Kluyveromyces lactis: one gene and its partners. The main gene of each other region encodes a partner of the protein of the gene in region 3 in a complex. Links are inferred from orthologs where the notes say so. Each region holds a gene or a part of one and is shown on either strand. Other genes may lie near its edges. The genes, in order: SPP1, SHG1 and SWD2.

Evidence for each region.
Region 1: SWD2 (region 3) and SPP1 share a complex: the UniProt entries of both Saccharomyces cerevisiae proteins name them as parts of the set1C/COMPASS complex. The link is inferred for Kluyveromyces lactis from reciprocal best matches to the Saccharomyces cerevisiae genes SWD2 and SPP1.
Region 2: SWD2 (region 3) and SHG1 share a complex: the UniProt entries of both Saccharomyces cerevisiae proteins name them as parts of the set1C/COMPASS complex. The link is inferred for Kluyveromyces lactis from reciprocal best matches to the Saccharomyces cerevisiae genes SWD2 and SHG1.

Annotation. Positions count from the first base shown.
Region 1 is NC_006040.1:614,444-626,790, reverse strand, and holds SPP1 (Spp1p), read right to left. Parts: upstream 7,162-12,347; coding exon 6,133-7,161; downstream 1-6,132. Other genes in the region: mitochondrial nucleotide exchange factor MGE1, read right to left, coding at 953-1,684; mitogen-activated protein kinase kinase MKK1, read right to left, coding at 2,042-3,439; KLLA0_D07282g (uncharacterized protein), read right to left, coding at 4,324-5,676; MCP1 (Mcp1p), read left to right, coding at 7,505-8,356; HER1 (Her1p), read right to left, coding at 8,505-12,341. UniProt on the Saccharomyces cerevisiae protein: Component of the Set1C/COMPASS complex that specifically mono-, di- and trimethylates histone H3 to form H3K4me1/2/3, which subsequently plays a role in telomere length maintenance and transcription elongation regulation.
Region 2 is NC_006042.1:190,034-198,585, reverse strand, and holds SHG1 (Shg1p), read right to left. Parts: upstream 888-8,552; coding exon 501-887; downstream 1-500. Other genes in the region: POP4 (RNase P/RNase MRP complex subunit), read left to right, coding at 1-454; KLLA0_F02167g (uncharacterized protein), read left to right, coding at 1,141-3,024; cullin RTT101, read left to right, coding at 3,191-5,347; GTPase-activating protein RGD1, read right to left, coding at 5,396-7,432; TAE1 (N-terminal protein methyltransferase), read right to left, coding at 8,490-8,552. UniProt on the Saccharomyces cerevisiae protein: The COMPASS (Set1C) complex specifically mono-, di- and trimethylates histone H3 to form H3K4me1/2/3, which subsequently plays a role in telomere length maintenance and transcription elongation regulation.
Region 3 is NC_006041.1:1,598,788-1,610,960, reverse strand, and holds SWD2 (WD-repeat containing protein SWD2), read right to left. Parts: upstream 2,591-12,173; coding exon 1,610-2,590; downstream 1-1,609. Other genes in the region: ATP-dependent 5'-3' DNA helicase HCS1, read left to right, coding at 1-1,628; MCO12 (Mco12p), read left to right, coding at 2,859-2,864, 2,981-3,232; MND2 (Mnd2p), read left to right, coding at 3,551-4,366; tyrosine protein phosphatase YVH1, read right to left, coding at 4,459-5,526; RAM2 (bifunctional protein farnesyltransferase/protein geranylgeranyltransferase), read right to left, coding at 5,828-6,769; KLLA0_E17953g (uncharacterized protein), read left to right, coding at 7,491-10,946; KLLA0_E17931g (tropomyosin), read left to right, coding at 11,462-11,479, 11,719-12,173. UniProt on the Saccharomyces cerevisiae protein: The COMPASS (Set1C) complex specifically mono-, di- and trimethylates histone H3 to form H3K4me1/2/3, which subsequently plays a role in telomere length maintenance and transcription elongation regulation. Involved in mediating RNA polymerase II termination.

The DNA of each region.
Region 1 (12,347 bases), on a different chromosome or scaffold from region 3:
GACTCTTGAAATTCGAAATTTCCTGGAATCTAACTGCACAGTCCCTCTCCGCCAATGGTACCCAATTTAATCAGATGTTCAAGCTAGAAGCCTACAACAGTGCAGGATCTTTAGACGTTTGATTATAAGTCCATATATAAACAAACTATTTCTTTTGATTTCAATTGTTTTTATAAAAATTCCTTTAAGCTTTAAACAAAAAACCTAATTAAGAAATACGCGAACTTGGAACGGTAGGATTCCAAAGAGGACGCAATATATCAACTGCCACATATTGTTCGAACTCATCTTTTTGATGTTTACGGCTTCTGCAGTTCGCTATGGTACTGTATACCCCTTGAATCTTCTGGGGAAGGGGAGTTTGACAGTTCTCTTATTGTTTTCTTTTCATTACATGTAGACTTAGGCGTAGAGCCAGAATGTAAACAGTAGATACTGATATGTCTTCCTCTGAGGATTTGAGGGCTCATATAGATACCGTTTTGGGTGGAGTGGCTGATGGAAGATTGAGTTCAGAGTATACTAAAGATGTAGAGCCTGCAGGGGTTGGATGTTCTTACTTATGCGTTTCGTTCATGCTCTCGGACGTACCTTAACGGATGACAGACCGTTTTAATAAGAGAAAGAAAGGTCCTTTCATTTTGGATCATGGTAGAGAATTCATATACATATGTGCAAGTTTATTTACATGGGAATTAAGTAGGGTCATTGTGGCGAGACCATTATGACCGTTATGAGGGAACATAAAAGTCAAACCTGCTGCGAACAAAAAGAGATGTTTTCCGTTCAAAAGCTGATCGATGTTATCATGCAGAATGAAAGAAAAATGGAGTGAGGAGGGGAAAAAAAGTTAGAAGGTTCATAAAACAAGCATTATCGTAAATTATAAGTCATGGTAAGGTCATTTGAAGTAGATCGATTTTGGGTTCGGGGTTCTTTATTGAGAGATTTTCTAATTTTCATTGTCCTTAACAATACCGACCTTAGCTGGTCTGATAACTCTGTCGTTCAAAGTGTAACCAATTTGTTGAACGTGGAAAACGGTACCTGGTTCCTTGTCTGGTTGAGGCAATTCGAAAGTAGCTTCGTGCTTATTTGGATCAAAAGATTCGCCAATTGGATTTAGTTGTTCAATACCGTGCTTCTTCAAAGTCTTTTCGAAAACGTCCCTGGTCATCTTGACACCGGTATATAGATCAGAAAGCTCTTGAGATTGTTCCAGAGTTTCTGGTTTGAAAGCGTTCAAAGCATGGCCAAAGTTGTCGACGGATTCCAACAAGTCCTTGGCGAATTTTTGCAAAGCGAAATCCTTGGCCTTTTGGATATCCTTCTTGGTAACTTCTTGCAAATTTCTGAAATCAGCAACTGATCTCAACAAACGGTCCTTAAATTCAGAGGCTTCCTTAGTCTTGGCATCCAACTTGGTTTCCAAATCTTTAATCTTTTTTTGCTCTTCAGTCAAATTTGCGTCTTCTTCAGCTGCAGCTGCATCGTTCTCATCCTTAGGTTCTTCCTTCTTGGCTTCATCAGCATAGAATCTAACACCGGAAAACCTAGCAGAAAACTGGTTGGAGGTTGCAGCACTAGATCTCAAAGTGCTAGATACAAATGGCACAGTAGTAGATCTGAAACCGATTGGAACAGTTCTGGTAACGCTTCTCAAGAATCTGGTTGATGGTCTCATATTTTATTGTATTCTGTTAGTAAATATTCTCTGGTCGACTTGAGTCTCACTATTAACAGTGGTTATTTAGCAAAACAAAGTGAGTTCAAATCCAACTGAGTGTCAATAAGAGGTAGTGACAGTTGGTATGTAAGATGTATTGGGTTGTTTTACTAATTCTTTCTTCTTAAATGTCTTCTTATATACGGTTCTTTCTCTCTTTCATGATCATTTTTTCAATTCAAACCAAACTCTATGAAAAAATTGAAACTTGATCCGATTTATGTTGTGGAACACGTGACATGCAGCCATTTGAGAAATGATTTATCTATACATGTTCCTGCATGTTCTATCTAGTGGGCCAGTAGGGGCTAGCAATCAATCCGCCCAACAAGTTTGAATAAACTTCTTCATGTTAACGTGTTTCTTGGTTTGTCCCACCATCCAGGGGTGTTGTAGCATTTGTCTTGGAGATGGTCTATCCTTTGAATCTTTTTTCAGACTGTAATCAAGGAACGATTTGAAGGATTTGGACCATACTATGCCTTGTTCTGGTTCATCTTTCAATTCAGGTGTGAAAGTCAAGATAAGCATCAAAAGTTCTATAGGGGGCATGTTTGCTGCTAGTTTATCCGTATCAAATGGTGAGTGTCCCTGTGCAACTTCCAATAGTGTGAGACCCAAAGACCATACATCACTGGTAACACTGTATGGCTGGCCCTGTATCCTTTCTGGAGCCATGTAGTATGATGTTCCTGTAAACGTGGTGGCAAGAGAGTTCACTGCCTCTCCACTGACTCCAAAATCGCAGAGCTTTATTTGTCCTATTTCGTTGAACAATATGTTCTGTGGCTTAATATCTCTATGAATGATCTTTCTTTCGTGTAGATAAAATAGTCCTCTAAGTACGCTCTCAGCTATCTTCCCCAGAACCTTCTCACCAATTCGTCCCCCCTTAGAGAGAAGGTGCTTGTACACCGAATCTAGCGATCTTCCGCCCATATATTCCATCGCAATAAAAATTGTCGAGGTTTCTTCGCATGCAAACATCCCGTAATACCTCACTATGAAATCAGACTTACAACTCTTGTTGAATTGCAATTCTCTGAATATTTGTTTCTCTGAGCCATCATTCTCTATCGTGGCAATGGTCTTCAATGCAAATATTTTTGAACCGTTCCTTAACTTACATTTCGTGACCGATCCTCCAGTTCCTTCGCCCAATATTCCCAACGTATCAATTTGTTCATGGATCTTGTAAGTTTGCCATATATCTGACTCAAGTTCATCTGTGCTATCATCTCTATCGTGCTCTATAATTTCACTTTCTTTCCCATGGTTTACCAGGCTTGTGCTGCTGCTTGTTGTTGGTTCGCTATCGTACATGGATATTAGATTGGAAGTCATCGAATCTGCACTTTGGGTTGACTGCTGTGATCCAGACGTTGGCAGATGGTCCGTATTGATCTTCAGCCCGTGCAATTTGTTCGAAAGTGATCCCATCGCACTTCCAGAGTTAGTACTGGATAGCGGTGTCACTGATGATGCTGTCGGTGGAGGTACTGGTCGATTTTTCAAAGTCCGTGCAGAACTCGCCGATGCACTACTAGTCGGAGTAGCACTAGACGGTACAGATTTGGAAGGAGGTTGTCGAAGCTTTTCATCCCTAATATCTGTTATTGGCTTACTATTGGAAACCAATTGCGGTGGTAACGACAATTTTGGAGGCTTGGAATTGGTTCTCCTAGACTCTGGTGGTCGGAACATCGAAGCCATCTTTGCTTTCACTTCACACTTGTCTTTTCCGTGGGTCCATACAAATAATATAAATATCAGTTAATATCACCTTATGCGACAAGTAAACAGCGTTTTTTTCTATTCAAACGTTTGAGCTGTTTTTCTTTGAAGTGTCCGTTGATATTTTCTTCTATCGAAGTAAAAAGGGGAAACCTCGGTTCTCGTGTCTTAATCCTCAGCGGATCGCTTTTATACTCAGTTTATCGTTTTAAAATGCCTCTCGTATCGTATTCCACTGGGATACGTCCGGAATATTACTCCTCTGGGCCTCAGGATTCTCTTATGTGCCAGATCATCTTTATAATGCAAAGAGCCGTTTAAGTGAATTTGTTTTATTAAAGTTCGAATTAAAGCCTTGTCCTGAAAAAAAAAAAAATTCAGAGACAGCCGACGTGATCGACCAGTACAAACATTTTAAGATTATATAAGGTTTATCAACTCATTTTAAGTTCAACATCTACCGTTTCCTTTGGTTATTTGGAATCAGATTTTGAAGTTGAAACATTTCAAGCTTCTACCCATAACTTCCATGCTCGTATTTTAGCAGAAACCAGTTGATATTATGTAAGAGATCACTGAGACAAAGTTGATTAAGCCAATAATCGTCGCAGTATGCATGTTGTAGGTAGGTACACTTTTATTCTATCGTATCCTTCATTGCTTATCGATGCCGGTGTTATTCTTGCTATGATAGGCCATCGAATGTTAAAGGGAAGATTTATTGTTTTGCCCTTTAAAGACGAATTTGGACCGTGAATGTTTAAATATTCACAAAAGAGTAATAAACATTTATTTTGACCGTGTTAACAAATTTCAATAATACACACTTGGACATAAACATATTCATACATATAGTCTTTAGCTTACTCAGATTCTGCAACCTCTCCGTCTCTGCCATAAAAACCTTTGTATATAGTTAGGTAGCCATCCCCGTCAACAGTACCAATTATATCTCGAATCAAAGGATGCTGCGTTACAGAACCCTTGATCAAAACTGTATTATCAGGTTTGTAGGCGGATCTTCTACCGCCGCCAGTATGTAAGAATTTCAAAGAATGTTCTTGTATGTCATCTTGATATATTTCATCAGAATCTGCACTGTCTTCGCCCTGTTGCTCGCTTTCGTTGATTAAATAGCTGATATCCCAATGGTACACATTTCCCGAAGCACCTACAGTGAGGAAACATTCGGGTTCCAAGGGGCTGAATTGGATATCGACCACAGGATCGTTATCTAATTGGTACAATGTGACTATTTCTGTGGCATCCTTCACTTCTGTGGAATTTCTAGCGGCAATGGAACGTAAATCCCATAGTTTAATAACACCGGCATCAGAACCAGTAATGAAAAGAGTATCAAACTGTTTCGATGCTTCAACAACGTTTATCGTACCATCATCTTCAACTTCTGATCCTGCAGTCGAACCCTCACTAGAACTGGAAATTGAGTGCAAGGCCAAGCTAAATAACATTTCATCTCGAGCTCTAATATCCCAAAATCTTAACAGATTATCCTCAGTGACTGTGCTGAACAATGTAGCAGTGTGGAATTTAACGCACCGAGCCTGTTTGGTATTTGGCAATGTAATGGTATGTAGCACGTCACCTATATTGTCAGTATTGTTGATGACGGTGATTTTCGTTCCGCTCTGTGCAGATTCTGGAACCGGAGATTCGAATCTGACCACATATTTTCCATCAGTTGAAATATCGAAGTCAGCCGTAACATCTTTTTCTGAAGATCTTTCTAAACTTTTCAATGGTTTCTTACTAGAGCCATTGTACCATGCGAGTGTACCCTTTTTACTCATTACAATCAGAGCCGATGTGGAATGGTTAGCTTTGAATGACGCAATGGACTGTCCCTCGAAAACCCATTTTGCATTGGCAGGCTCTGAGAAAAATTCGCTGTACCTAGGCTGTGGTAGCTCTTTATCATCATGACTTGTATAAGCTCCAATAGGCAGCTGTACACCAATCTCGTATATTTCGCTCCGTTGCGAATAGTAAATAGACGTGTTCAATAAACCCTTATCTGCCTCTTCCGAGATAAGTTCGGTGAACAAAACTCTCCTTTCAGGTGACTGGGCACTTTCAGAAGGGCTAAAGATTTTAGGTTGCAATGTAGAGATATGCTCATACAAGGATGGGATAGTTTTCTTCCAGATCTTGAACTCTTCGTTCTTAACCTTGTTTGTTCTGATATCTGTTGCCATATTTTGTTTGTAAGTTTATGTGTTTAAAAGCTTCCTCCAAACGCTTACCACAAAACCAATATCTTTGAAACTTACAGCGAGAGAATAGAGGTTCCTAATAGGAGATACAATTATAAGGTATGTCTGCTATCTTTTGTCCTGCCCCTTTATATTTCGTAAAACAACCAGACCTTAATGGTGATATTGAGCTCATTGGTTTTTCATTTTTATATTGTTTTCTCATAGAATGAATAACATGGTAAGTGACTTTAACTATGTGACGATTAGATGAATTAGGTTTACGATAGGATAAAGCTTATATACGTTCAATTATTGGACTAGAAGCATATGAAAAACCTGATGTTTGTATTAGGTTAAATTATTTATACATGCTTTTCTTGCTAGTTGATGCTACAAGTTAAATATAAGCGTTTCGCCTTCATTGTAATGACAGAAAAGTGACACATTAGATATGAGCTAGGTCTTAACACCGGGTAGGACGCGATTGGACATCTCTTGTTCGAAGAATGAGATTCTCAATTGGTTCGTTCTGACGCTAATTAGTAAATCGAGTCTTCTTTTGACGTTTTCTAGAGAGTCCTTCTGTTCCGAGAGATCGTTTTGGGACAATGTAATCCAATCCTGATGCTTAGCACATTTTGTCTTTACACAAACACCGTCAACTGATGTGATATTACTGTTTTCGTCTTCTTTCAACTGAAGTAGCTTATCTAAAAACTCCTCAACTGACCGAGGGATCGTGAACTCATTATGGTAGCCGCATATTGTAACTTTACTTGCACTTTTCGACTTCTTTCGACCTGTAGGCTGATTGAAATGTGGGGATAATCTCTCGTTAACTTCACCGATCCAGTTGACGTATTTCTCTATTACTGCATCTTCTTCATTTAGTTTTGAAAGCTTGACCGAAACCAACTCATCGTGTTCGTTAATTAATTTGTTTAAATGCTGATCATTTTCTAGCAACTTGGAATATTGATCTTTGGATAAAGGTGACGTGACTTCTGGAAGCTTGTCTCGTCCTAGCGTTTTAAATTCCTCCAATGATGTTGTCTCGTTTAGAAGCTGTCTCAACAATGCAATCTTATCTACGCCAGGTAGATTTAACTTATCAACAATGCTTTGAACGTATTGAACAGCATGTTTCTTTGAACAATATTTGCTTCTTGAATTGGCATCACACTCTGTATAGCATTCAGGGAGCCTGCATTTCCTCTTCCAAAGAGTTTTCGGTAGTTTGCCGCCATTTATCAATGCCGGTCCTGTAATTCCAGCACTACAATACGAACAGTAGAATGAAAAAACGAGATCTCTATATTTCTCGGGGATCTTTAAACAGGAAAAATGAAACCAATCATCACATCCATCACATCCTACCATCAACTCCCCAGTGTCTGGTTTCTTACATATACAATAAACTTCTTCCCCAGTTTTTGGGTCGTGTTTCCTGCTGTCATACCTGGGGCACCAACTAGGTAATGACATCGTGAATACTGTAAATTCAATCCTATACTGGAGTTATCTTATGATGATAAATATCTAGGCAGAAAAAATGAAGTATATTCTTTGTAATATTCAAATGCAACCATTCATGTACCCTTCACAGGCCATATTTGTGTTATTTCTCTGTTTATTTTACCTTCATCGATTCGTGTAATGGTTTTTACATTTTAATATTCCTTTTCTGATGCAATGTGTAAAGATGGAATGTAATGAATAAGCCAACATCAAATTAAGAAACAGATATACCAAGATTCTCAGAAATATCACTTGCCCTTTGAGTATATGAACAAGTGCGTGATTCGCTGACTTATAATTGATAAACTTCATGACTGCTGCGAAATTGACACCGTTGAAGCCCATTCCGACCAAACACATCGACCCCGATTTAGCAAAAACCCCCGAGGATGCCAGCGTCAATTTAGTGTTGAATATTAAGAAATGGCTAAGGTGGACGCAAAAATGGTCTTTATTCCCTCTAGTAACGTACTTTCCGTTACACGGTATCAATGCCCTAATAATTCCTGCTCTTGAGCCCTCCTCTTTTCCAAACGATGCTTTAATGATGGTTAGAGAACTCACATCTGGACTTGGATCTAAGTTGATTTGGACTGGGATATCAATACATATATTATCCGGATTTGCCTTGAGAATAATGAGGAAGCTGCCTACTTCTTCGAAAACACATAATGCCGAATCCTTGCTGGATACTCAGTCACTTGCACAATCTAGAATTGGTCTTGTAGGTGGTTTAAGTGGGTACTTTATTGGGATCAAGAGAAACCTTCAATATAATCCACAAGAGCTTACAGGATGGTTGTTAACTCCAGTATTATTCTTTCATGGTGCCCTCATGAAATGGCTGCCAAATACGGCGAAAGTTGATATAGACTTTGATTTTGTCAAATGGCTACTAGATAAAGACAGAGGTGCTTTGGTGAGGATAGGTCTCGGATATGGCCCCTTGGTTGCTCTTATTGGTTTAGGATCGTATCATATTATCGCTGGAACCGTTCAATATATGCATGTCCGTAGTCTAAAGACTCGTAAAAGAATAATGAACTTCATATTGCTGCTTATTTGTACCGGATATATTGGAATAAGCAGATTGGGATCAGAGATCGTATTCGGAATGGACAAATATTATAGACCAATCCTAAGAACATTGTCATTATCATGAAAATGTATGCTTTACTTCCTGCCAGTGATACACCGTTCATCGTTAATTTTATTCACCATGGCGCTTGTTTTGGTCTTCCTGTACCTAGTTTTATTTATTGTGTGTGTGGCACGTCCATATGTACTTTTGTTTATGCAAAAATATTTATTTATCCTCTGTTAGAACGAACACGACTCAAATTGTTCAACAACTTGTCATATGTCTCGTCAACGTTGAGTTGTTCGGTGGTGGTTTCATCTTCGACATAACTATCTTCACTTTCAGATGGGAATCCATTTTCCTGCGCGGAGTGTCTCTCATCATGACTCACGTTCCCGTCCGGTCTTCCTCCAGGTGATAAAACTAATGGCTTTGCATCAGCAGGTGGTTCAACTTGGATACCATAAATATTATCCAACTTGACTTGTTGACAATTAACATTATCAATCAAGTCTTCAATGGAATTGATACCTTTCGCTTTGATGATAGCCTCACGAAGTTCCGTACCAGATGGAATCTTCCCAATGAGCTTTGCAGATGCCGCGGATTTAGACAGAGCAGGAATGGAATTTGAAGAAGTTGGAGGGGTAGATGCAGTCGGTGTAGCTGCAGGCTGCCCGGTTTTCTGTGAAGTCTGCACTTGTTCTCGTGGTTTTTCAACGATTTGTGACAATTGTGGTTCCTTCCTTTGTGCATGCTTATGCTGTTGCTGTTGTTGATACTTAGACATAGGCGTGTTTTCTGGGTATATGGATCGCTGTTGTTGAACGAAGAACCCCCATTTGTGCAATTCACCTTCTTCCTCTTCTTGCTTTTTACCGAAAATAGAACGTTGAGAACTTGTCTTCGTTAAGATCGGCCTACCTGTAGTCACATCAATGGTCCTACCAGAATCAGTAGCCATCAGATGGGGTTTAGCACTGTTCGAATCTTGCTCGTGTTCTAGCTCTTGATCAATGTCCTGGTCAATAGGATCGACAAGTGGTTTCGCATACATTATTCTTTCGGAGTCAACATGCTTCAGTACTGGTCTCTCATCACTAGAAGAATAATTATCATCATCTTTATTCTTGGCATAATTTAATTCCTGGATATACGGATTAGTGGACAAGTATTCTAGGATATTTCCTAAGGTATTTTCCATGAAAATAAGTCTTAATAAATTTTCTTTGCTCTGTAATGACAATTCTTTTGAAATTCTTTGTTCGAACATGCTGTCTATGGTTTTTTGAACATTGGCATGAATCGTGTGGATTTTTTCCCAATAACGCTTGAGTAAATACCTTTTCGTCGAATCTTCTTGAAGCTTAGCAGAGTCATTGAGCTTATCTAAAATATTACCGGCTGTTTCACTGATTAGTTCACCATCGAAAAGTAAATCGTCCTGCGATGAAAGTTCGTCCAATTGCCAATTAGAGTCAATTGACTTCTGCGCGTTTCTAACTAATGCTATTGCTATTCTTGAATTGATTTCCTCTGGAATGTTCTCGTAGTTGAAGTCCAAGTTAATCAACTTATCGCTATTCTTGATACAATCATATAGAAATACAGCTGCACTCATTGCCCATGATTCTTGTGGTTGGTTCATCATTGAAACATGTAAAAGCTCTTTACACTTGGGTAAAATCTGTGTTACAAGAGAAATGTCCTTATAGGTCCATTCATTAGAATCAAAATGTAATCTTTTTAGAGAAGGGAAACGCGGTAGATATTTGTTCAAATAAGGAAAGATTGCAGGGAATAATGAAGGCAATCCCGATAGATCTAAGAAATAAAGTTTCGGTAATTTTGATAGTTCCCTTATAATCAATGCAGCCTCTTGCACCGATTGAATGTTTGTTGAATTCAATGTGAAGTATTGTAATGAGTCGAAGCTGCGTTGCGAAAGCTCTTTGATAATTGGTTTTGTCAAATTTTCGAAGTCATTAAATGCCAAATCAACACCGATGATATCATTTTCAGACATCCATCTAAATAGAATTTCTAACTGTTCTGAGGAAGCTATCTGAGATTGAGCGAGACCCAACTTACGTTTCCTTGAAAATTCGTTCTTAGTTGAGGAAAACGCGTTTATCATATTTTCGAAAGTGTGCAAGTTATTGGCAAAAGAAACACCATTGAGGAGTAGCTCTTCTAGTGGTTTACCTTGTCTCTTGTGCAAGACATCAATGAATAAAGACCAATCCATTTGAGACCTGTGTAATTTAAGATCTAGATCATGTCTGATTTTGGTCTGCGAGATGTCTAATTTCGTCAATGATTTATTTCTCATCAAGAATTTACACAATAGTTTCCATCCACGCTCATCGAAAACAACATTTCTCATCGATAGTCTTTCAAGGGTGATGCTTTTAACTAATGAAGATATGACTATCTTAAACATTTCAGGACTTAGGCCGACGTTATCAAAGACAACGTTGTGGATAGGGACAATAGCAATAAAATCAGAGAAGGACAATATATCAATAAGAGTGGGCCTTGGGTTCAAAAACTTTAATGTTTGCAAAGGTGCCTTTTTCTCCTTTAATTGTCTCAAGGTAGAAGGAATCGGAAGAATTTCACGCAAATGGCAGCATCTGGTGTAGACAACATCTAACATCAACTCATTGCCATTCTCATCCTGTGTACCGCTAGTCGAAGATGGATTGGCTCCATGCTCGGAGCCAGTTCCATTACTAGAACCCGAAGATTCTTTGAAATGATGTTCATGCATATGTATAGGTTTATCAATCTCCAAAGACTTAATCTTTTCATCTGCCACAACCCCCGCTTCAGCATTTGCTTCATCGTCGGTGGCTGCTCCAGATTTTGGCACAGTACCATTGGCAGAAGGCTTTAGGTCTGTCGAAGTAGAAGGTTTTAATTTGAAACCGGCAACTTCGGAGGCAATTCTTTGAGCCGCATAATGTGCTTCTTGCTGATGTTTCTCCGATTCCTTAAGACATTTTTTATGATTTTCCAAGGCAAGTTGGTATTCTTTAGAATCTTTTGTGTAAGCAGATGCTGGTAGAGCACCATGCTGATCATTCCCATGTGAGGAAGGTTGGGCTGTCGTTGTAATACCTTGAGATATAGAAGGGATATCACTGATCATGTCGTTTGGAACAAGAACGTTACCCAGTTTTGGCTTTCTCGAAGGAATTTGTTGAGGAGGGTCCATACCAAATTCATCGACTGCAAAAGTAACTCTTTTCAAATTAATCTCGGTCAATTCTTTGATAGGCAGTGGATGCTTCGATTTATTTGGATTTTTGTTCAACACGACACGATCGTGTTGAATTGGCGCCATATCCTTAACTTCCGGAGAGTTTGGTTCCTTAAGGAACTGGGATATTTGTTGTCTATGAGACGCAAATTGCGAGATGTTGATAGGAATAGGTATTCCTCTGGAGGAAGAAGAAGAAGAAGAAGAAGAAGCCGGAGCAGCTGTGGTCGAAGCCTGCGTTGGCGAGGACGATGACGATGCTGTCGACGCAGAATGGCCCGACGCAGAAGAGGAAGAAGTCACCGGAGCTGGAACCGAAGATGATGTGGATGAAACGTTTGTATGGGACTCCAGCGGTTGCAGCGGTTTCCTATTGAACAAAGAACCGAACAACGATTTCTTTGGTTTTTCGCCCAGCGAGCTGCTCCTCCGAAGGACAGCAGATGATGGTTTCAAAGAGCGACCAGACGTATTTGGAGAGTTAGCTGCAGTCTGGCTCAGACTCGCTTGCGAGTGTGAGCTTGACCGATTACGAGTCTTTGCCGCGGGAGTTGGAGTTTGAGCAGGTTCTGAACTTGCAGAGTTCTCTGGTCCAGCACCGTCAGTGCCAGCCCCTGGTGTTGCTTCTGCAACACCAGCAGACCCAGGAGCAGGAGTAGGAACAGAAGTGGAAGCAGGAGCAGGAGCAGAGGGAGTAGCCGGTGGAGCTGAAGAGGAGTCCAATCTCCTATTCGCTCTGACCTTCTTCTTCCCCTTATATAACCAATCCACTTCGACGTCAAGATCCAACGAATTCGGCATGTAGAC
Region 2 (8,552 bases), on a different chromosome or scaffold from region 3:
GCAACTGCCGAATTTTGAAACTTTCTCCTCCATGTTCGAAGATATATGGTGTCCATACATGAAAGAATTGTTGAACATCCCAGATAATCACAAAGTTGGAAATCCATTACCTTTGAACTCTCAGCAAACTTTGATCAAGCTCTCTATGGCTGATTATAACGGGTGTAAGTTGAAGGTATCTAAATCCAAAAACAAGTCATTAACTGGGAAAAATGGTATTGTAATATGGGATGCTCAAAAGACATTCATAATCATAACGAAAGGCGGATTAGTCGATGAATTGAAAAGCATACCGAAGAAAGGAACAACTTTCGATTTCGAGATTCCAATCAATGAAGAAGAATCTTTAGCCTATACAATTCTTGGTGATAGATTTAAATATAGAAGTGTTGATAGAGCCGGTAGAAAATTTAAGAGTCGCCGTTGCGATGACCTATTATATTACATTAGTTAACGAAGTAAAATATATATGTAGCAGCCTTGCTACTTTATCTGTTCAATCAACTATCATTAGTTTTGGCTTCAAGGATAGTTCTTATCTTTTGTCTCGTCGTCGCATCGTCAAGTGAATCACTCAGAAGCTTCTCCACATCGATATTTGACGTGTTTAAACTCTTGAATCCGTCTTTAAATAATTGGCCCTCAAGAAGAGCAGTCGTGGTACCTCTGTTCTTGAAAATTAAAGACTCATCTTCATTTACCCTATCACGAACTAAATCCCTTACTCGGCTCTTTATGAATTCGTCCAAGCTAATATCACCCTCTACATTTTGAGATAGTATTTCATTCTTTAAACTGTCTAAATGACCCTCCTTCTTAAAAGTTTCCGCCAAATATTTGGCAGGATCTAAAGACTCTTCTTTCAAATCGTTACCATTACTATTCATGCCGTGTACTACCCTTAGGTGATTGTGAAACCATCAATACCAGACCAAGGTAGCAATTTCTTACACTGAATTGCAAAGAAAAGGTCTGCAAAATCGCCAAAATTTCCAGTTTTTTGGCCAAGACAAGATAGTTCAATAGTCAAACCTCCATTCAAGATGCACTTCAACAAAGAAGTGGCAGGAGCAATAGAGCTTCTTGTTATACGTTGAGCCCTGTGTATGACACCTGAAAGATATGAACTATTAACTTCCCATGAATATTCGAAACGGAAAAGAGCTAACATGGTTCACCTACGGTAATTTAGTGAATAAATCAGAGGATGAGTTAAAAGATGTGAATAAACGACTTACACGATGGATTGACCAACTAAGGTACTCGGATGCTAATGGATTGGACGACAATAAGAACCGTTTACTCGATGTCACAAGAGGTTTCTTACAAAGCTTTGACAATGAAATGCAGCATATGACTAACACTATTGAAAGTCCATTGACTATTGGGAGCTTGGCAAAACACATCCTAACAATAAAACTTCAACTAAGGAAAATACAGCCTCTTTTCTTACCTTTAGAGCGAGCACTACACAAACTCGGGTTAAATATACGACATTACTCACTTCTCGTACAATGGCTGGTCACCATTGTTGGATATAAATTATATTCTGAGTTGAACGATCTAATTAGAAGAGGGTTTGAAATTGAGGTTGAGACAAGATCCATATCGAATGACCAGTTTTATGAGGTTTGCAAGTTATTTTCAGACTTAGGATTTGATTCACATTATCATCATTTTTTGGATCCGATATCCCTACCTAAGAACAACGATGTTAATCCACGATTTATCTTATCTATTCTCGAGGGCTTGGTATTAACCTTCAAAACCCAATTGCAAGTACAGTCAGATATTAAGGACTTTGAAGCGGAAGCTTATACCTTCATGAATTATTTGCACAACGTGACTCTCCAAATATATCCCGAAGAAGTTTTTGCAGTGACTCGTGCCGGTTTTTTTGCTGTATTTGCTGACGTTGATTTCTACAAAGCTTCGATCTCACAGAAACTCGGTTCATCACAACCGCTCAATTCTCAGCGTATCAGCTATAATATATGTGGTTTACAAAGTGTTTTGACCGAAAAGGATATACTATCTGCTAACCTCGAAATTACTACGAAGTGGGTACAAGATTTGACTGAGGTTGGGCCTAATTACCACCGCCTCTTGATCCGAATGATGGATTTCATTCTTCAACAGCGCAAGCCTATAATGAGCCGCCAATACGCATTTGAATTGGACTCTAAAAATACTATTAAATTCATGAGACTGATGGTGAAACACATTCTTACTTATTTTCCAGGCACTACCAACATTGGAGATGTGTTGGGTAAAAAAGCATACAACATGACTGAAAAAGAAAGAAGATGGCTAACGAAAATAGGAGTATTCTTGAAGAACACTCGACAATTTCAACCATTTTCTGCTTCGTATTTTGAGCAATACGTTATAAAAGAAATCATTCGAGATAATCTAACCATAGATCTAGTCAAATCTATTTTAGTTGGCAAGAAACTAGAACTTGACGCTCCCCTCGCTCGCTTTTACATAGTAATGCAGCAGGATGCTGGGACACTAAATAATATTAACAGGATGTTCAGTCATTTGTCATTAAAGATAACGAGAAACAATAGGAAGAACGATATCATCTTACCAGCAAAAATATTTCCTAATATTTACTCAGAAAATTCGGCAAAACTTCCTTTTAATCTGCCAGGAAAATGGGTTAACAAACACGAACCACGGATTACAAGTGATGGTATTAATGTACACTTTTATGATCAACCGCATCTACATAGAGTCATCATGAAACCTACAATTTTTCAAAAAACCAACATATCCATAAACTTCAATTTATGTCATGCTGTCATTCTTGATACATTGTTCAATAAAAAACTAAGCTGGTCGCTAGATGAAATGATTAGTGCTCTTTCCGTTCGCAACCAAGCAATGTTCAGCCATTATTTATCATCCTTAGTCAAGCACGGACTCTTGATCAGGAAAGAAGATGGCATATTTGCACTTAATCTTGGATTCAAACCTAACAGTAAACTTCTGGTGAATAATATTTTCACAATACCATGAGCTCAGTATACCAAAACTTCTACTGTTACGTCATTGGCTGCTAGTTACGTAGCCAACACAATGTACTTCCTTTACCTGGCACGTGACTCGTATGTCTTTTTGATATAGTATTGGGCAAGTACGTAGGATCATATAACACTTAGTATTTCAATTGTTATGGGACAGTATGTATCGCATAAAGGTTCCACCCTCAACGTACAGTCAATGTGACATGCCGTTATTGGTTCCCGAACGAATCAAAAGCTCAAAAGTTCTGTACGATTCTCTGTTATCTGAGCTCGAACTGCTGCTTAGACAATATCAAATCCCAGGAGATGACCTTAAACACGATGAAAAGATATATTTCACTTTGCAAAAATTGATTAGATGTAAAGTACCGAGGCTTGCTAAGGCTTCCAGTAATTCAAGTCAATATGCTGCTGTCTTTAAGGACACGTTTGTTGAAGATCTCTGGTCACTTCTTAGCAAATTGATAAATGAACAGGTGGACGAGGAAGATTTCACGAATATAGAATGGTTAACAAACTTATGTGAGTTAGAAGATGCTTACAAAAAGATACAGGGCAAGGTGAACTCTTTGCAATATTACACCAAGGCTTTTCTCCGGAACCTTCCAAATAGTTTGGAAAATATCTCCTGCCGATCATTAGAAGGCTACGCAACGTTAGTCTTTTTCTCAAGAATAGCAAATCGATTGCACTCGCAACTACGACAAACTATCGAATCGTTTATAGTCGAAGCGTTAGAATCACGTACAACATCCCAGTTCAGTTTGGTCAAGAACATTATCAGGTACGATATTCCAATTGATAAATCGTCAGTGTTGGGGCTTTTTGAAGAAACCACTAATCGCATAATTAACTCCTTTACTTATAGTTCTGACCACTTCAAAAGAGTCGACAGTCTTCAAAAACAAATCATATACTACTGTTCCGAATATCAAATATTATGTCAAAATTTAAGCATCAATACTGTGGATATTCTTTTATTGAAGTTTAAATACTTCGAGGATTTCTTCGATAGATGTATGGATGATCAAATGACGATAATAACAATAATAGAAGAGCTAGGGGATATGATATATGCCTATTACCCGTGGCGAGGTGAGGAATATGATAACTTCGTAGTACGAGTTATATGTAAAATGCTTGACGAAGACTATTTGTCGTCCTTCATCTCCACCTATTCCATGTCAAGCGAATCTTTTGATTCTAATCGAAAGGCAATAATGAAGAATATGATTACATTGACTTTTAATGCAGACATAAAGAATATTGAAAAAGTTGACAGATGGTTGTGTAAGGTTTCTGAGGAAGGGCAATTTTCTGGGATTAAAGATCTGGTTAGATCATGCTGCATTTTTATGAACGACATCTTTCCGCCAGACTCAAAACAAGACGAGTTACTATGGAACATATATAAGAGAAAATATTTTCTACGGTCGGTACTAAAGTCATTGGGGGGTTCCGAGCAGCTGATTAAAACAAACGAGAGATTCGACCAACAGCTACTTTGCTGTGGGCTGTTGAAGTCAGTTCACATTCTTGAACTCCAGCAGCTAAACGACGAACTAATTGAATCATTGAGAATGAAGAGAGCTCCAAAGATAACTCCTGTCATTCTTAAACAATCTAACATCTCGGACTCGTTGGATTCATCCGAAATTTCAGGACTCATACTACCGGAACCATTAAATGGTATGGTGAATAAACAATGGGAGTACTACAAGGTTTTAGATAGGAATGATCACAAAACAATGTCACTCCAGTGTCAGCTAAATCTTCTGGAATTGAAAAGCCCCTTTAGACATGGAATTTCTTCTGAAATAGTGATACTTCACGTTAACCTACTTCAAGCATCAATATTTCACTTATTTAATAACAGTGCTCGTCTTTCACTTGAACAAATAAAAAACACTTTGACAGAAACAAAGCACAATATACCTCAGATTGACAGCAATATGGAAATGTTTTTACAAATGAACATGTTTAAAAAGGATTCTGAGGACTGTTTTTATCTGAATACTAAATACAAACCCAAAAAGGAAGCTCTTAATGATGGTAAATTGACACTGTACCATCTTCCTAAAATATCGCCAAAAATTATGGAAAACGATAAGGCAGATAATAGATGGTTCACTGAAATTGTCTGTGCATGCATTATCAGGACGTTGAAACAAAGAAGAAAGTGTACAAAGACAAAACTTTTTGAATATGTCGCTTCTGCTTTCCCGGGTATCAGCCGCGGAGAATTCAAAGACGCGCTTGGGAGATGCGGCGAATACTATACATCGGAAAATGGTAACGTACAATACTTATTATAGAATTTACCTTAGTTTTGATATTTAAATGATTTCTTTTTATTAGTACATTTACTCAGGTTCAAATGCTTGATCCGCCACATCGAACAAGAGCTCCATCGCACTTATTTGGTAGTTCACATCATTCAAATCTTCATTATTAGGTGAAATTATGGTTGGTCCCCAAATAATGCACAATGCCTTTAAACCCATTCTGTTTTTAGTTTCGTGTTCCAAAATACGTTTCAAATGGAATATCAATGCTCTTATCGTCCAATATTGACCATCAGGTAGTTTATAGATGATACCGTGCATATAGTTTTTTCTGGTAGTTGAATCTTCAATCGATAGACACGTTTTAATTTCTTCGGTCATTTCTCTTGGTAAAAGAGTATCAGGGAGATTAGCAAAAAATGTTTTTAACAAAGAACCTACCAGATAAATATCAGAGTCAGTGTAGTTCTTCGGTGGTAAGATCATAAAGACGTTGGATGGGTCCTTATCAATTTCACTTTTGAGTCGTGACACATCAAGAACGTTTGCAGATTTACGATAAATGCCCTCCAAGTTTAGACCGTATTTGTCAATAACGTAGATACATTGGCGGACAATAGCCGGTACAAGATCTTGATCGTAATCCAGAAGATTCTCTAGGGGAACTGCAAATGTCTTGAAATCTTTTGCAGTACCAGGCGGTAATGACCCAATAGTTTGTACTGTTGATGGTGGCCTTGTCATAGTTTCGGTGGTGGCAACGGATGGTGCAACACTGGTTTGGCGAATATTTGGGCGTGGGTCAAGAGTTGGGAAGTCTTTCTTGTTTGTTTCTGAGGGTGGCACAACATCGACCATTGATTTCAATGGTCTTGAAGATGTTGATGTTATGCTATTTCCATTCACAGAGCTCTGAGACGGTCCACTGGAAGCAGAATTTGGCGGGTGTGTGGTAGCTGAAGGTGATACTGTGGATGACAAAGCGGCAGCTGCTGAAGAACTATTGAATGGGGACTCATGTTGAGTGGACATGACTCTTTTTGGCAATGAGTTTTTTGAGTTATTTACGACAAAATTCGAGGGGCCAGATATTTTCCCAAAGTTACTGCTTGTTCCCATTGCGCTAGATGTGTATGACCTTGCCATTGATGGATGCTTTTTGTATTCAACAGGAATCAAATTCTTATTTATCATGGATCCCGATTTGGATGTGTTGTATTTGTTTAGGAAGTTGTAAAGATCCAATTCGTTATTCATCGAGGTTGCAGAACTTCTCATAGATTTTGAGTTACCATCTACTGGGTTTACAGAAACCCCGCTGTTTAGAATCATGTTTTCTGTCCAAATTGTGTATTTTTGCAACTGAATTGACATTGCTGTATCGATTTCTAAGATCAAATCTTTCAACTCAGACACGATCTGTGGACGTTCTTTACTCAAAAAAGTATTTCTCAAAGAATTGGAATGATCTACTCTCTGTTTATACTCCAGATCGGCGCTATCTATCTTACGCTGAAGATCTTCTTCTTGTTCCTTCGTTGTTTTCGATCCCCTTAACGTTAATTTTGTTTTAGTGGGATCAGTTAATCTCAATTTCTCCCAATCTTGACACAAAGAGATGTACCTTGATTTAGCTTTTTCGGCAGTGTGGATCGCATCAGAAACATCCTTTTCAAGTCTCCTACTTTTCTCCTTTAAGGATTTTCTGGTCTTCGTTACAGTTAACAGTAACGCTGTTACTTCATCATAGATTTTTTGCAATGCCCTAACGTACGATATCTTAACTTGCGATAGTTTGTTATCGTACTCCAAGAGTTGATGGATGGATCGAGATAACCCAGAATTCCCAGTTTCTTGGAAGAAATGCTTGGTGGTTTTGGACATTTCCTGTGCATGCTCTTCCTCATACAAGTACTTTTTTCTCATGAATTTGGTGAACTCCTCACATGTCAAAAGGGAACCTTTCAACCTGGATAGTAGGGCATTGATGGCGATATCTGAAGACAAAACTTTCTTAACTTCTTCTCTTTGAAGCAAATCATTTGATTGAGAAGGCTCCGCTACACATCCAGTAAGGTTTGGATCTGTCCCTGACTCAGAAGTGTCAACACTCATATTTGAATAAATGAAGCAATGCAGTTCCTATCACCTCTGAATTAAAATAAATTAGATTAATCAATAAAAAGAACAAACGACGGTTTATATTTAGCGCTCCTGCGTTTTCCGATGAACCGAAAAAAAATAAAATCAGAAACCTAATATGGCAATTGAGTGCTGATACTGAAACCTGCTATATAATTGACCGAATGATATGTATCTCAATCAAAGAGATCCCTTTCTTGCTTCATAAACAATAATGGATCACTTTGATTCACGTATGTGTTTATAGTTTTGATATCGGTCTTCATGTTCCAAACAGACATTCTCCATTTACAAAGCCAGCTTTCGTGGTTAGTGATGGTAGCACGTGATTACCAGTGACAAATAATACAGACCACTCCTTCAGTTGCAATTAAGGTCGAGGATTACGGGAGTGCTTCGACCTGTCGCATCTCATGCCATAAAAAGCCTGCATTCACTGACGTTCTTAAATTATGCCCTAAAACACCACTGTAATCCAGCTTATTACTATTTAACCAGTTTGAATTTACTGTTCTTCTGCTGTTTCTGAAAAGCTTAAAAAAAAAATGTTTCGAAAATGAAAAGATACGTATCTCATCGCTACTTTTTGGAAGAGGATAATCGTTCTCTCTCTCTTTCTAATAAGGTTGTCAGCCAGGTCGATACAGCGACTGTCAGCTGGAAGAATTATTCAACTCTTTGAGGCTTGTCCTGTGCCAAGTTGTATTCAAAAATGGATAACCATTGTTTGATTTATGCAGGAGCATGGTGCAACGTAGTGTCAGGACAAGACATGTTAAATCTTGTCTAACTTTCTCTCCATTTGTCTTGGGTTACAGAGTATATCTTAATGATGATACATTTCCTTCAGTGCATAGTTCAACTGATAAGGATAACTTCCTATATGAAGATAAAAATTCATCGAATTTAGTCTTTCGCTCCTATCTGAAATCTCTGTCTCTTGAACGTCTTCTTTTTTAATTAGTATAGCAACTTGTTATGTAGAATACTACATGCTCTTACTGATGTCCTATTTATTGAAATAGTTGTCTCAAACTACGGTTTTCAATGCATACATCTGTACAGGATAGAGGCCGTCAGGTAAACCTCTTTG
Region 3 (12,173 bases):
CGTTCAACAGGTTGTGTCTCTTGAAGACTACTAATACCATTACTTATAAGAGAATGCAATCTACTATGAGGAAGTTGGCAGAGTTCAATTCAATACCCGACAATATCTTGATCCAATACATGTTGCACGAAAGAAAGTTCATTAAAAAAGACCCTGAACATAACGTGAAGTTCTACAACGAACAACTCAATGAATCTCAACGTGATGCCATCCAACATTCGTTGTCAAATGAAATATCTATTATCCATGGCCCGCCAGGGACGGGAAAGACATATACCCTTGTAGAGTTGATAAAACAGTTATACGATAGAGGGGAAAGGATTTTGGTTTGTGGACCATCAAATATTTCCGTTGATACAATCTTGGAACGACTTAGTAAAGTTGTTCCAGGTGATGAATTATTAAGAATTGGTCATCCATCTCGGCTACTACCACAAGTTTTGTCACATTCCCTTGACGTATTGTCTAAAAAGGGAGACTCGGGCATGATTTTAAAAGACATTATGAAAGAGATTGATGATACCATTGCTAGCGTTAAAAAGCTCAAATCTTCAAGAGATCGCAAGAAAGGGTGGCAGGAGGTCAAGGCATTGAGAAAAGAATTGAGGCAGAGAGAGAAAAGTGGGCTAATTAATATAATTTTAAAGAGCAAAATTGTCGTTTGCACTTTACACGGTTCAAGTTCTCGAGAATTGTTGAGTGCGTATGATCTACAATCCAAATTGTTCAATACTTTGATCATTGATGAAGTTTCACAAAGTTTAGAACCTCAGTGTTGGATCCCTTTAATCTCACATTTAAAATCAGATATGCAAAGACTCATAATAGCTGGAGACGACAAGCAGTTACCTCCAACGATCAAAACTGAAGATAATGATAAAGTAAAGCGCTTGTTGAGTACTACCGTGTTTGACAGATTATTGCAACATTACGGCAACGAATTTAAGTACTTGCTAAATGTACAGTACAGAATGAACGAAGAAATTATGCAGTTTTCTTCTAACGAATTATATGACGGGAAATTGAAAGCAGATGACTCCGTTGCGAAACAACTGCTAGCAGATTTACCAGGTGTTGAATCGAACGACAACACTACTTTCCCATGTATTTGGTTAGATACTGAGGGAGACGACTTTCCAGAAAGGTCTGATGAAAATGACAACGATGCAGACGATAAGTTCCACCTAGTCTCTTCAAAATACAACGAAAATGAAGCATATTTGGCATTATACCACGTTGAGCAGTTGATAAAGGCTGGTGTTACGGAAGAAAGTATTGGTGTGATCTCCCCGTATAATTCACAAGTATCGCTGTTGAAAAAACTCATCCATGAAAAGCATCAAGCAATTGAGATATCTACCGTAGACGGATTTCAAGGTAGAGAAAAGGAGTGCATCATCCTATCTTTAGTAAGAAGTAACGAGAATTTCGAGGTTGGGTTCTTGAAAGATGAAAGAAGATTAAATGTCGCGATGACCAGACCTAAAAGGCAGCTTTGTGTCATCGGTAACATGGAAATGTTATCGAGATGTCGAGTGCCATTCCTAAATAGATGGGTGCTCTGGGTAGAGTCTGGCTTCGAAGTCATATATCCAGATCCCAGTATAATTCATTCGTTATATACGTAGAAATCTACAGTTTCATCTGCAGTGACAAACATGCTATATTTAGGATTGAATGCAATAGTTCTGGGACATGTATTTGGTGCGGCGTTAATAAATCCTTGAGGTTTGAGCGTCCTACCACTGATGAAGTCTGCGTGGTTCCATATCGCGATCTTCCCAGTGTAATCAGTTCCCAATGTAATGCGTCCATCTGGAGTGAACGTTGCGGATCCAGAATCCATGAACTCTCTCAATGGGAAAGGTTTAGTTCCTGATAATTCAAATAACTGTGTACCATCGAAGGAATCCATGATCAAATGTTTTCCAGCGGACGACGCAAGCAACAAATATTTACCATCGTTTGAAAACTCCAATTTATTCCACTGATCAAAGCTTGGATCCACATTTATAACTAAAAATGGGCCCGCCTTCAAATGTTTTACGTTATATAAACCGACTTCATGGTTCTCAGGGTTACCAATGGCGAACACAAGCCCGCTTGGATCGTAAGCAATGCATGTGGGGACTAAACTTGGTATAAGGGCCTGTGCCTTGGAGCTTCTCAAATCCCAAAGTCTTACCGATTCGTCATACGATGCAGACAAAAAAGTATCATCCAACGGGGACATTTGTATATCGCTCACTAGAGCACCATGGCCCTGGAAATATCTAAGGTATGTGTTTGTTTCAAGATTCAAATGCCTTATGTCAAACGATTTCATAGTGGATGAATAGATACATTCTGATTGCGCATGTGTAAACTTTGCGGAATGACATCCGTATTTTTTAGAAGCGATGGTATTCAAAAACCTGCAACTTACTGCATCATATAGATGCATATTATCACTAGCAGTTGCAGTCAACAAGTACTGGCCATGGTCATCAAATGTCACTGAAGTTATAGGTCCCAATTCTTTATCAGAAACTCTGAAGGACTTCACAGGCTCAAATCGTAGAAGATTGCTCTTGGAAATGCTAACAGTCATATTTCCTTTCTCAGCTAACTTTTAGATAATCACAGAACTGTTGCTAAACCGCTGGTGTCCCGTTGAGCTTCTCTTTTTGTCTCCAAATTGGTAATATTTCTTGATGGTGTTAACAGTTTTATTTAAATTTAAATGTTCCTCGAAATTGTAATGACATCTGTCAAAGAAATCAATAGTGTTAGTCACTTGCAGGTAGAGAAATAGAGCCTTTCTGGTCTTACTCTGGCTTTATAAAGAACTGACATATTTGAGATTTGTAATAAGAATCATGGGTGTACGTACCGTTCATTTTTTTGAAGAAGGTGGTTAGATACACCACCGTTTTCATCAACGGACTTTGATTTACTAACTAAAAGGTAATCTTAACTGCATTTATCAAATTCCAATCAGGTTAAAGATATAGTTCATTACAGTATTGACTTAGCGTTGTTGTCTATGGTATTGGCTGGATTGCGTAGAAGTAACAATTATGTTGTCGCTTATGAAATGTCTGACTTGAAGAATTATATTAAACGGTATCTTGACTGGGGAGAATACTTATTCGATAAGTTGGCTAACATGGCTGAAAGAAGTGCTTATTTTAGGAAACAGACTCCTTTTGACAAGTTCTTGGATCATATGGAAAGAAAGCGTAACCTGTAGTTACACCAATAACGTTTATTCAAACATACATACTAATATATAATATTCAGTTCTTTTTAGTGTCTTCTATCAATTCATATCAAATATAAGATAACTGGAGTGAATGCCATCAAGACGCCGGCGTTTAACTACTGGTAATTGGTGAGTAGTACAGCTCTCCTTATTTTTGTTGATGCTTTTTCTATTTCTTTTAAAATAAAACCTTTAAATCATGATTTACTTGTGTCCTGTTAAACACCACTGTGTCAATGGCAATAACAGACATTAAGAGGCTGTTCACAAAATATTTTTGGAGACAGTAGGCTTTACAAGTAAGATATGGGGCTTGGAGAGTTTATGTATGGCCTTGATGCCTTCAGACAACCTTCTGCACCATCCGATTTCAATAACATTCCTTTGATAAACAATCTACGAAAAGAGCTTCTGCAAAGCAAGACAAGCAGAAAAGGGAAACCGGTGAGTTGGAACATTGATAAAGATACCAAGAGACGGATCAAGCCTGGGAAGAGATTGATTCCTCTTGCGGCGTATACTTGCCATAGTGAGAAACCTTTAATTGCCAATAATGACGGAGATGTGTCTGATTCCAATACCATTAACATTCTAGATAAATCGACACTATTGCTGATAAGATCTCTTGGCTACTCAAGTTTGCGACCTATTGGCATTGATAAAACCCTAAAAGAGATCGAAAAGGAGAAGGGAAGTAAACAGAACAAGCAACAAAATGAACACAATTCAGGGCAAGAACCAATACTTAATGCCTACCAAACTTCCTCTTCATTTATTGTGTCAAATCATAATCATCAACATACAGAACAATCGGTACTGCTGACAGCACAAGTTGGTGAACAATCTGAAGAAGAGTACGATCAAAGTTATGATTACGATAACGAGTATGCGGAAGTTCACGAACAAGGATCTATGCTCGACAGAACGAGAGGTACGTTTGTTGAGGATTCACAATTAATTGATACAAGTTATACCAACCGGTCAAGATCCAGGCATTCAAATGTGGATGCACTGCCATTTGTAAATGAAAATGAGGATTCGGTCCATGAACAGCCATCGTTGACCATATCTGATACTCTAGACTCCGGTGCTCAAGGTTCACGAGTATCTAGCCTCACCTAAATGCCTATTAAAGAAGAATGACATGTATTAAACAAATAAAATAAAAAATGCTAACCTTTATGAATGATATTTATGCGAGTACTGAGAGACCATTATTCTTCAAACGATACTAAATTAGGTAGGTCTTTCCTAGTTAATGCTATTTGTTCGACTTTAGCTGTTTGGATATGGATTGCCGGAATCATCCATTTACCACAACTGCATCTAGAACCTTTCCAATTGTAACCTCCGATCTTGCTATCACAGTTCGGACAGAAAAATTTACCTTCAAGCTCTTGCTTTTGTAATTCTTTCTTCATCCATTCCAAAGGCTCCACGAAATAGTGCGAACAACGGTCTTGTGATTGTTGAATATCAATAATTCTTCTAGATCCTGCGGCCCTCCTAATGAAATGACCTTCCATTGATTCCTTACTTGGAGGATCATGCTTAATGAAAGAAGTGGAAAATGCAAGTCTAAACCTACATTTTTTGCAACGGATCGCAGAAACATCTTCTACTTCCTCTTTCGATAACTTAGCTACCTTTTCAGCTTCAACTTCTTCAGACTTATACATTTCATTTTGAGCCATGATATTGGCTCCCAAGGGATCAGTTTTAATGGAATTCTGTAATTTCCATTGTTTATAGTCTTTATTCTCGACATCCACTATATTCGAACCCATGGCTTCATACAGCTTCAGTTGCTCCATAAAGTTCTCATTTGGTTCAGCTACGCTCCGTTTCCTCTTCACTGCATGTAAAGCTGTCTTCAAATTGAACCCGTATCTGTACATTAAATACGCTACTGCAAACGTAACAGATCTGGATACACCTGCTTGGCAGTGTATATATATGGCACCCTTTTGGGGCTTCTTTTTGAAATCAACCTTCACTCGGTCAAGCTCTATCTCATCGGGAAACAGGCATGAATCGATGTATCTATTCGTTTCATTGAAATACTGCAACACATCTGTACTCAAATTATCGTCAATAGGAATATTCTTCAAAGTATAACTCTTCCTGACCAAGTATTCTGGAATGATCTCAAATTTGATCACTGATAGGATGTGAGTGATCTGATAATTCACTTTCAGTGGAACATGGTTCGCAATTGGTTGAATACCACCAACATAGATCCCACCTAGTACTCTTGTAATATCAGATTCAGTATTCGCCATTGCAGATGATTGTAGCTGATTATTTATGAATACTTGCCGGTACTAATATCTCTCTCTGAGGCGATTCCCGTCCACTCATTAAACTTTACCTCGTCTCATCTCATCGCTTCTTCTTCTTTAATCTTTTTGGCCTTGGAACAATTTTTTTCCAGTCTAGTTGAGGGAAAGAAACGTGATTTGTGTCAGTGAAGGTAGAGATGATATGATACTTCTGTAGTACCGACGGGTAGGATAGCCAAGTGAGCTTGGATGTGGGAGCCCTTTGCGCGACAAGGCATCCTTGTATGTTAATAATACAATCCTATATAGTTAATTGTCTGATTTTTAAATTCCAGTAGTTTTTCCTTATAGGATCCCAAGTGTCTGCTAATGCCTGATATGCGATCTTGGACTTTTCCGAGTCTGTTTGAGAATATACATCAGCTAGGAGCTCCAATGCGAAAGAAGACTTAACATGGGAGATTGGTCTTTCTTCTTGGTCGGTATATGTCTCCAAGGCGTTATCTATGAAGGACGAAGCAAAATTAATCAACTTGGAATCGTATTCGTTATTCTTGAATGACTTATAAATAAAACGTAGATGGTTCCAGGGGCTTACGTTTTGTGGAGCCAACAATATCTTATCCATACAGTATTGAATTTCCACCTCTGCTACTCCTTCCTCTTGAACATGATCGACGTTCTTCAAATAAAAAGCTCTATGGGTCCAGGCGCTGTTGTTATACACGTCTCTATCGATGTACTTGTTCACAAAGTCGAGTTCATGGGACCAATCTTTGAAGAATTGGACGGACCATTTGCGGTACGACCATACATGGTAATTTTTTGTATCGTCATCGATCATCACGTCTAGTATAGGAAGGTCTCGCACTAATTTGGGGGATGGATGTTCTGAGAGTAGCGCTTGTCTGTACGACCAAATCTGGTAGTTTTTCGGGTTATTTAAGGTGAACTCATCGAGCCAATCCAATTCTTTCTCCCATGCGGATACATCTTCTTTCCGGAACAAGGACATGCAAATCTCGAATCTGTAGTTCCATGCGGTGTATAACGCTGGTACAGTCTCAATCACCGCGGCAGTTACTGCCATTGCTCTTTCAGATAATTCATTTTGTTGTAATAATGCAACGAATAATGATACGAGTTCCTTGTATTGGTCTGTGTATAGGATGGCACATAGTTCATTTTCCAATCCAGATTCGATTGGTATTCTCTTAACATCAGAATAATCGCACTTGTCCATGGTATAGTGTATTATTTGTGATGTTCTTGGTTTTACTAAAGTTTGGTGAGAGTGTGATAAGGGAATTGTACTAGAACAGGTCACGACCCGGGGAACAACTGTTATATATAGTACTTAAAGGGGGGAGGGAAGCTATCAAGTTTCACCAGTGATGAGAATTGCAATGGATTTTTTCCATACTAAGTAACCTCAAACAGAGAAAAAGAGTCAAGGTGAACGGAAACCAGTCTACAATGAAGTGAGATCTATTCAATTTTGATGCATTAAGACACGAAAAGTTCTTCTCTGGTGAGGAAATTGTCCGTGTCATGTCCAAACGTATGTTCTTTACACTCAATACACAAACAATCACGTGATGGGAATTGTTGATGGTAAACACATTTTTCTGGCGGATTTTCCGCCAGAAAAATGATGGCTTACCATCAAGGGTAGTCCTTCTGTAAAGAATGAACCGCACAATTATCCCCCAAAAACACATTTCCAGCCCAGTTTGAAGAGGTTTTGTTGGATTTTTGTCGGTTTTGCATCAGCTTAGACGGACAATATTGGAACTTTTGAATTTTGAAAACAGTTTTACAAGGATTTAACAAATGATAACACGGCTTGTTATTGAGAATGTATTTGTTTAGCCATATCAACAGTGTATTGATTCAGTGTAGCGATAATATAACCAGGGCAATTACTATTAGATAGGAATAGTCGTGCTTTGCTGAAGTCAAGGATGCTTACAGAGAAAAAAGACACGTCTAAAGGCGATCTTTTGAACGATTTTTTGTTTTTAGGAAACGATGAGGAAGCTAGGGATAGCGCCGGCGATAGCGGCCCTCGAGAGGGCAGTCGCAACGTAAGTAGTAGTTCTGATGCTATTGATGCTGCAGACCTATTTGACCAGTATATTAATAAGGATATGTTGATGGAATCGATAGAGGACGATTCTTCTCCTGGTTTACTCAAATTGGATTTTGTGTCCCCTGTGAAGATGGAAAACCAGCTACGTACGAATGTTGATTTATTGAAGTTAGATACTGATGAAATTATGGATGTGAATGAGCATGAGGATGTTGACGATCAGATGAATGCTTCTGGCGGTGTTACAGATGTCCACGACGATTTGACTAGGGAAAATGTCGAACAATGGAAACTGGGAGATGAGAAACATAGCAGTAATAACACCGGAGTGCCAATGCAGAATCTTACATATTACCAACAAAGTGAACGGTTACTTACCCATGGGATGGAATTTGGTAGAACACGTCCTTTCAAGACGGTATATTTGAACCCAACTGATTTTCTCCCCAAGGATGATGATGATATCTCATTGCCATACAAATTGAATGTAGATGGAATCCCCTCTGTATCTAGAGTGGAAACTCAAATTAAAGTCAACGTCTCGATTTCCCCTCCACCTCCACAGTATATGATCCATTTACCGACAGATAGTATAACGAAACAGAAGCTTTATTTGACTCACGATATAACAGAGTACCCCATCGAGGTGAGGAGGCAGATGTTGTTTTTGGAGACTTTTTTGCTTTGCTCGTCAACAAATAAGACCACATACGTTTGTGCCAGGTGTGTGAAAAGAGAACAACGTAGAGCTGCGAGACGGAAATCTGGTGTAAGTGATAATCTGCTTTGGTGTAACAACGATAACAAGAGAGCTATTGTTTTTAATAGCAAACAAGTCCTCTTAATGAAAGAACATGAATGCAATGAAAACTCTAAAAATTTCTCTTTGATGACCCGTATCGTATGTTACTGCAGACATCATAAGGAGCCAGAAGGTTTCAAGGTGTTGATGGTTCTACGAGATGCAGATGATAATATCTTGGCAAGAACAGTGACAAACAGTATTGTTATTATGGATAAAAAGACGACAAGCAAGGGTAAATCTAGTGACAACCGTACCAGCGATGGTTATGTCAAGGATGAAGATTCTATGACAGGACAAGCCAGCGATTATAGTAACTCCGAATCCTACGTGAGTATGAAAGCTGAGGACTCTTCAGCGCCAGTACGGCTTTCTATACCAAAAGGTATGCCCTCTCCAACTTCCATTACGGAGGATTCTTCAGAAAATGTCCATACCGACCATGGTCCAGTAAACCCGACTACTCCTGGCTTTTTCCACTCTTCTGCAGCTGCCTCGGCAAGAACGAATGGTTATAAACGTCCAAGAAGCTCTATAGACGGTACCAATAAGTCAGAACGCTCGTTGTCTAATTCTTCAACCTCAGTAACTACAGCTTTGGATGTTTCTTCTTCGATATCTGGTCCACCTCATTCTTTGTTACAAAATAAACAACCAAACTTGTTATCTCAAATGGGGTCTGTGAAACCTGCTGCTGCAGGTATCGCAGCACCAGTACAACAACAACAGGCAGCTTTTCCAAGGCCTAACGTGCTAGTGCAGCAGATGGGTTCGTCTACAACGAATACTGTTCCCGAATCCGGCCCAAAACCATTTATTCAACGTGTTATTCCTGCTCAAGGTCCTATCAAAGGTGGCATCGAAGTGACACTATTGGGTTCCAATTTCAAACCTAATATGATTGTTAAATTCGGCGACAATAGAGCTTTATCTACTCAGTGTTGGAGTGAAAGTACCATCGTTACATATTTACCACCAACTTCGAAACCGGGTCAAGTACTAGTTTCTGTTTTCGAAAGAGAAGATCATGGTAATGAACAACTGTTGGGTAACATGTCAAACAGTAGGGCTATTTTTACATACGTGGACGATACCGATCGTCAATTGATTGAACTAGCTTTGCAAATCGTGGGACTCAAAATGAATGGTAAATTGGAAGATGCAAGAAACATTGCCAAGAGAATTGTTGGAAGTGATGGTGGCTCCTCGAATGGTTCGACACCAAGTTCAAACATCTCGCCCTCGACGAACTATAACGCTGACTCATATGCCACTAACTCCAGCAACCAGGTATACTACTCAGACGAAATGTTAATATTGAAAGTCGTGAAATTGCTAAACCCTGGCTCGAACCTATCCATGTGTAACTCAGATGGACAAACTATGTTACATTTGGCATGTTTGAAGGGTTACTTCCATCTGGTTTCTGCCTTGGTCAAAAAAGGTGCTAGAGTTGACGTTACTGATTCATTCGGTTTCACACCATTGCACTTTGCTTGCATCAACGGTGATGTCAAGGCTATCCAACTCTTAGTAGAATGTAAGGCCAACGTTACAGCAAGGGCAGACAACGGTGTCGATGCTCTCGATCTATACAAGTCGCAGCATGTTTCGGCTGCAGAGAAAAACAACTCCTACATCGAAGATGCTCTGCGCTTATTGGCCACGCATGATGGTGGCATTGAAAAAAACGAATTAGAAGACGAGTTGAAAATGTTTGGAAGAAAATCAAGCACCTCCAGTTTCCATTCCAGCGTATTCGATGCAGAATCTTTGGACTCTGTTGATTACGGCTTCCAAGTTCATGTTTCCAAGATGGTGCAGGATACATTATCGGACGATTCAGAGTACGAATTCAGTGGTTATGACGAAATGAGTGAATTGGACGATGAAGTACAGGACGATACTTCACTAACCATTGCTCAGCGGGAATCCCAGTTGCAACTCTCGACATATGTGCATCCCTACAGAGCAGACGGCACTGGTACGACAGTCAAGCCATCGGAAGAATTAAGCCAGGATAACGGTGAAGAGCAAGAAGGCGACAGGTCGGCTCGTACTCCAGAAGGACTACCTAAATATGAAGATTTATTCCCAGTATCTGGATTGAACACAAGCAAGAACAAGGTCACCGAATTGAGCCTCTCTATCGTCAGAGAGGCCAGTGTCGATACTGCTCCGGATTCACACGATTCTCAAACTTCAGAAACGTCCGAGGATGAAGAAGAAGCCCTACAAGTAAGATTGAACAGATTCTTCCAACAACGCCAAAACTTCAGAAACGATAAGATGTTGATTTTCTTCTGGATTCCCGTCATGGTTATCCTATCATCTGCGTTCCTAGCATTCCAATTTGGGAGAGACGGTAACAAGATTCATCATATCTCGGAAACGGTATCCGAAAACTTAAGAACTTGGATGGCAAAAACTTTACTAGGTAACGACAGAATGAAGGCTGCGTTTAGAGAATCCATCCATAACCTACAAAATCATAGACTGCTGGGAGAAGGAAACTACCTGGTCTAGTCGAACTTTTAATTTTCTTTTTCTTGAACCGACCTTTTATCTATGTGCAAAGCCCGTATATAGTCGAATCTTGAAATAATGGCTTTTTGTTAAATGACACGATACCAGATATCTAGTATGTATTCAAATATATAATACATACGCATAATAAATCATCGCATCCAGTGTAAATGCCCATTTCTGACTTTGTTACCCTTTGAAACCACATATTCTCACTGACGATCCTATCAATTCAACAGATTTTCATGGTTTCCCGCCTTTGGAAATCCAGAACGTATGAAAAAGCCTGAAAATCGAAAATATAAAAACAATAACAAACTTAAAAGGCTTCGTGTATTTTTACTCATTACATCAGGAAGGATTTACATGGGGTGTGTTCGTTGATTACAGATCAGAGACTAGTGCCCATTGATTGTTTGAAACTCGTCAATTACTGTAGTGAACAATTGAGTTATTTGACCTTTAATTTCACAAAAAACGCTCCCTGAAACAAGAACTAATACGAATCATCTACAATGGAAAAGATCAGAGAAGTATGTGTGGCGATTTTTCATAACTACTTGATCCCCTACCTCTCGGTCCGGTGATCAATGTGAATTAAGCAATTACTAACAAGATGCAATTCCTCGTCTGACGATCATTATCTTTAATGCTGAAATATGAAACGGTATGTCGATTGATGGCGATCCGCATTTGATTTCAGTAATAATGAACGTGACAGATTTGGAAAGTGAAGCGGGGGTGCTATCGCCCCCGTTTTTTGTTCGAATAGAAGCTAAGCAACTTGAAATTAGAAGCCGAGTCGTGGCAAGACAAGTACGAAGAGTTGAAGGAACAGGTGAAAGTTTTGGAACAAGAAAAGACGGATAACGAAAACTTGATCAAGTCTTTGACTACCAAGAACCAAACTTTGGAAGAAGAAGTTGAGACTTTGGAAGGTCAAGTCTCTGAACACAAGCAACTAGCTGAAGATTCTACCAATTTGAAATCTCATAACGAGAATTTCAGCAAGAAGAATCAACAATTGGAGGAAGAATTGGAGGAAAATGATTCCAAGTTGAAGGAAACCACAGAAAAGTTGAGAGAAGCTGATTTGAAGGTTGAGCAATTGGAAAGAAAAGTCACCTCTTTGGAACAAGAAAGAGATGATTTGGAAAAGAAATATGACGACTTACAAACCAAGTACGATGCTGCAAAGGCCGAATTGGACGAAATCTCTGCCTCTTT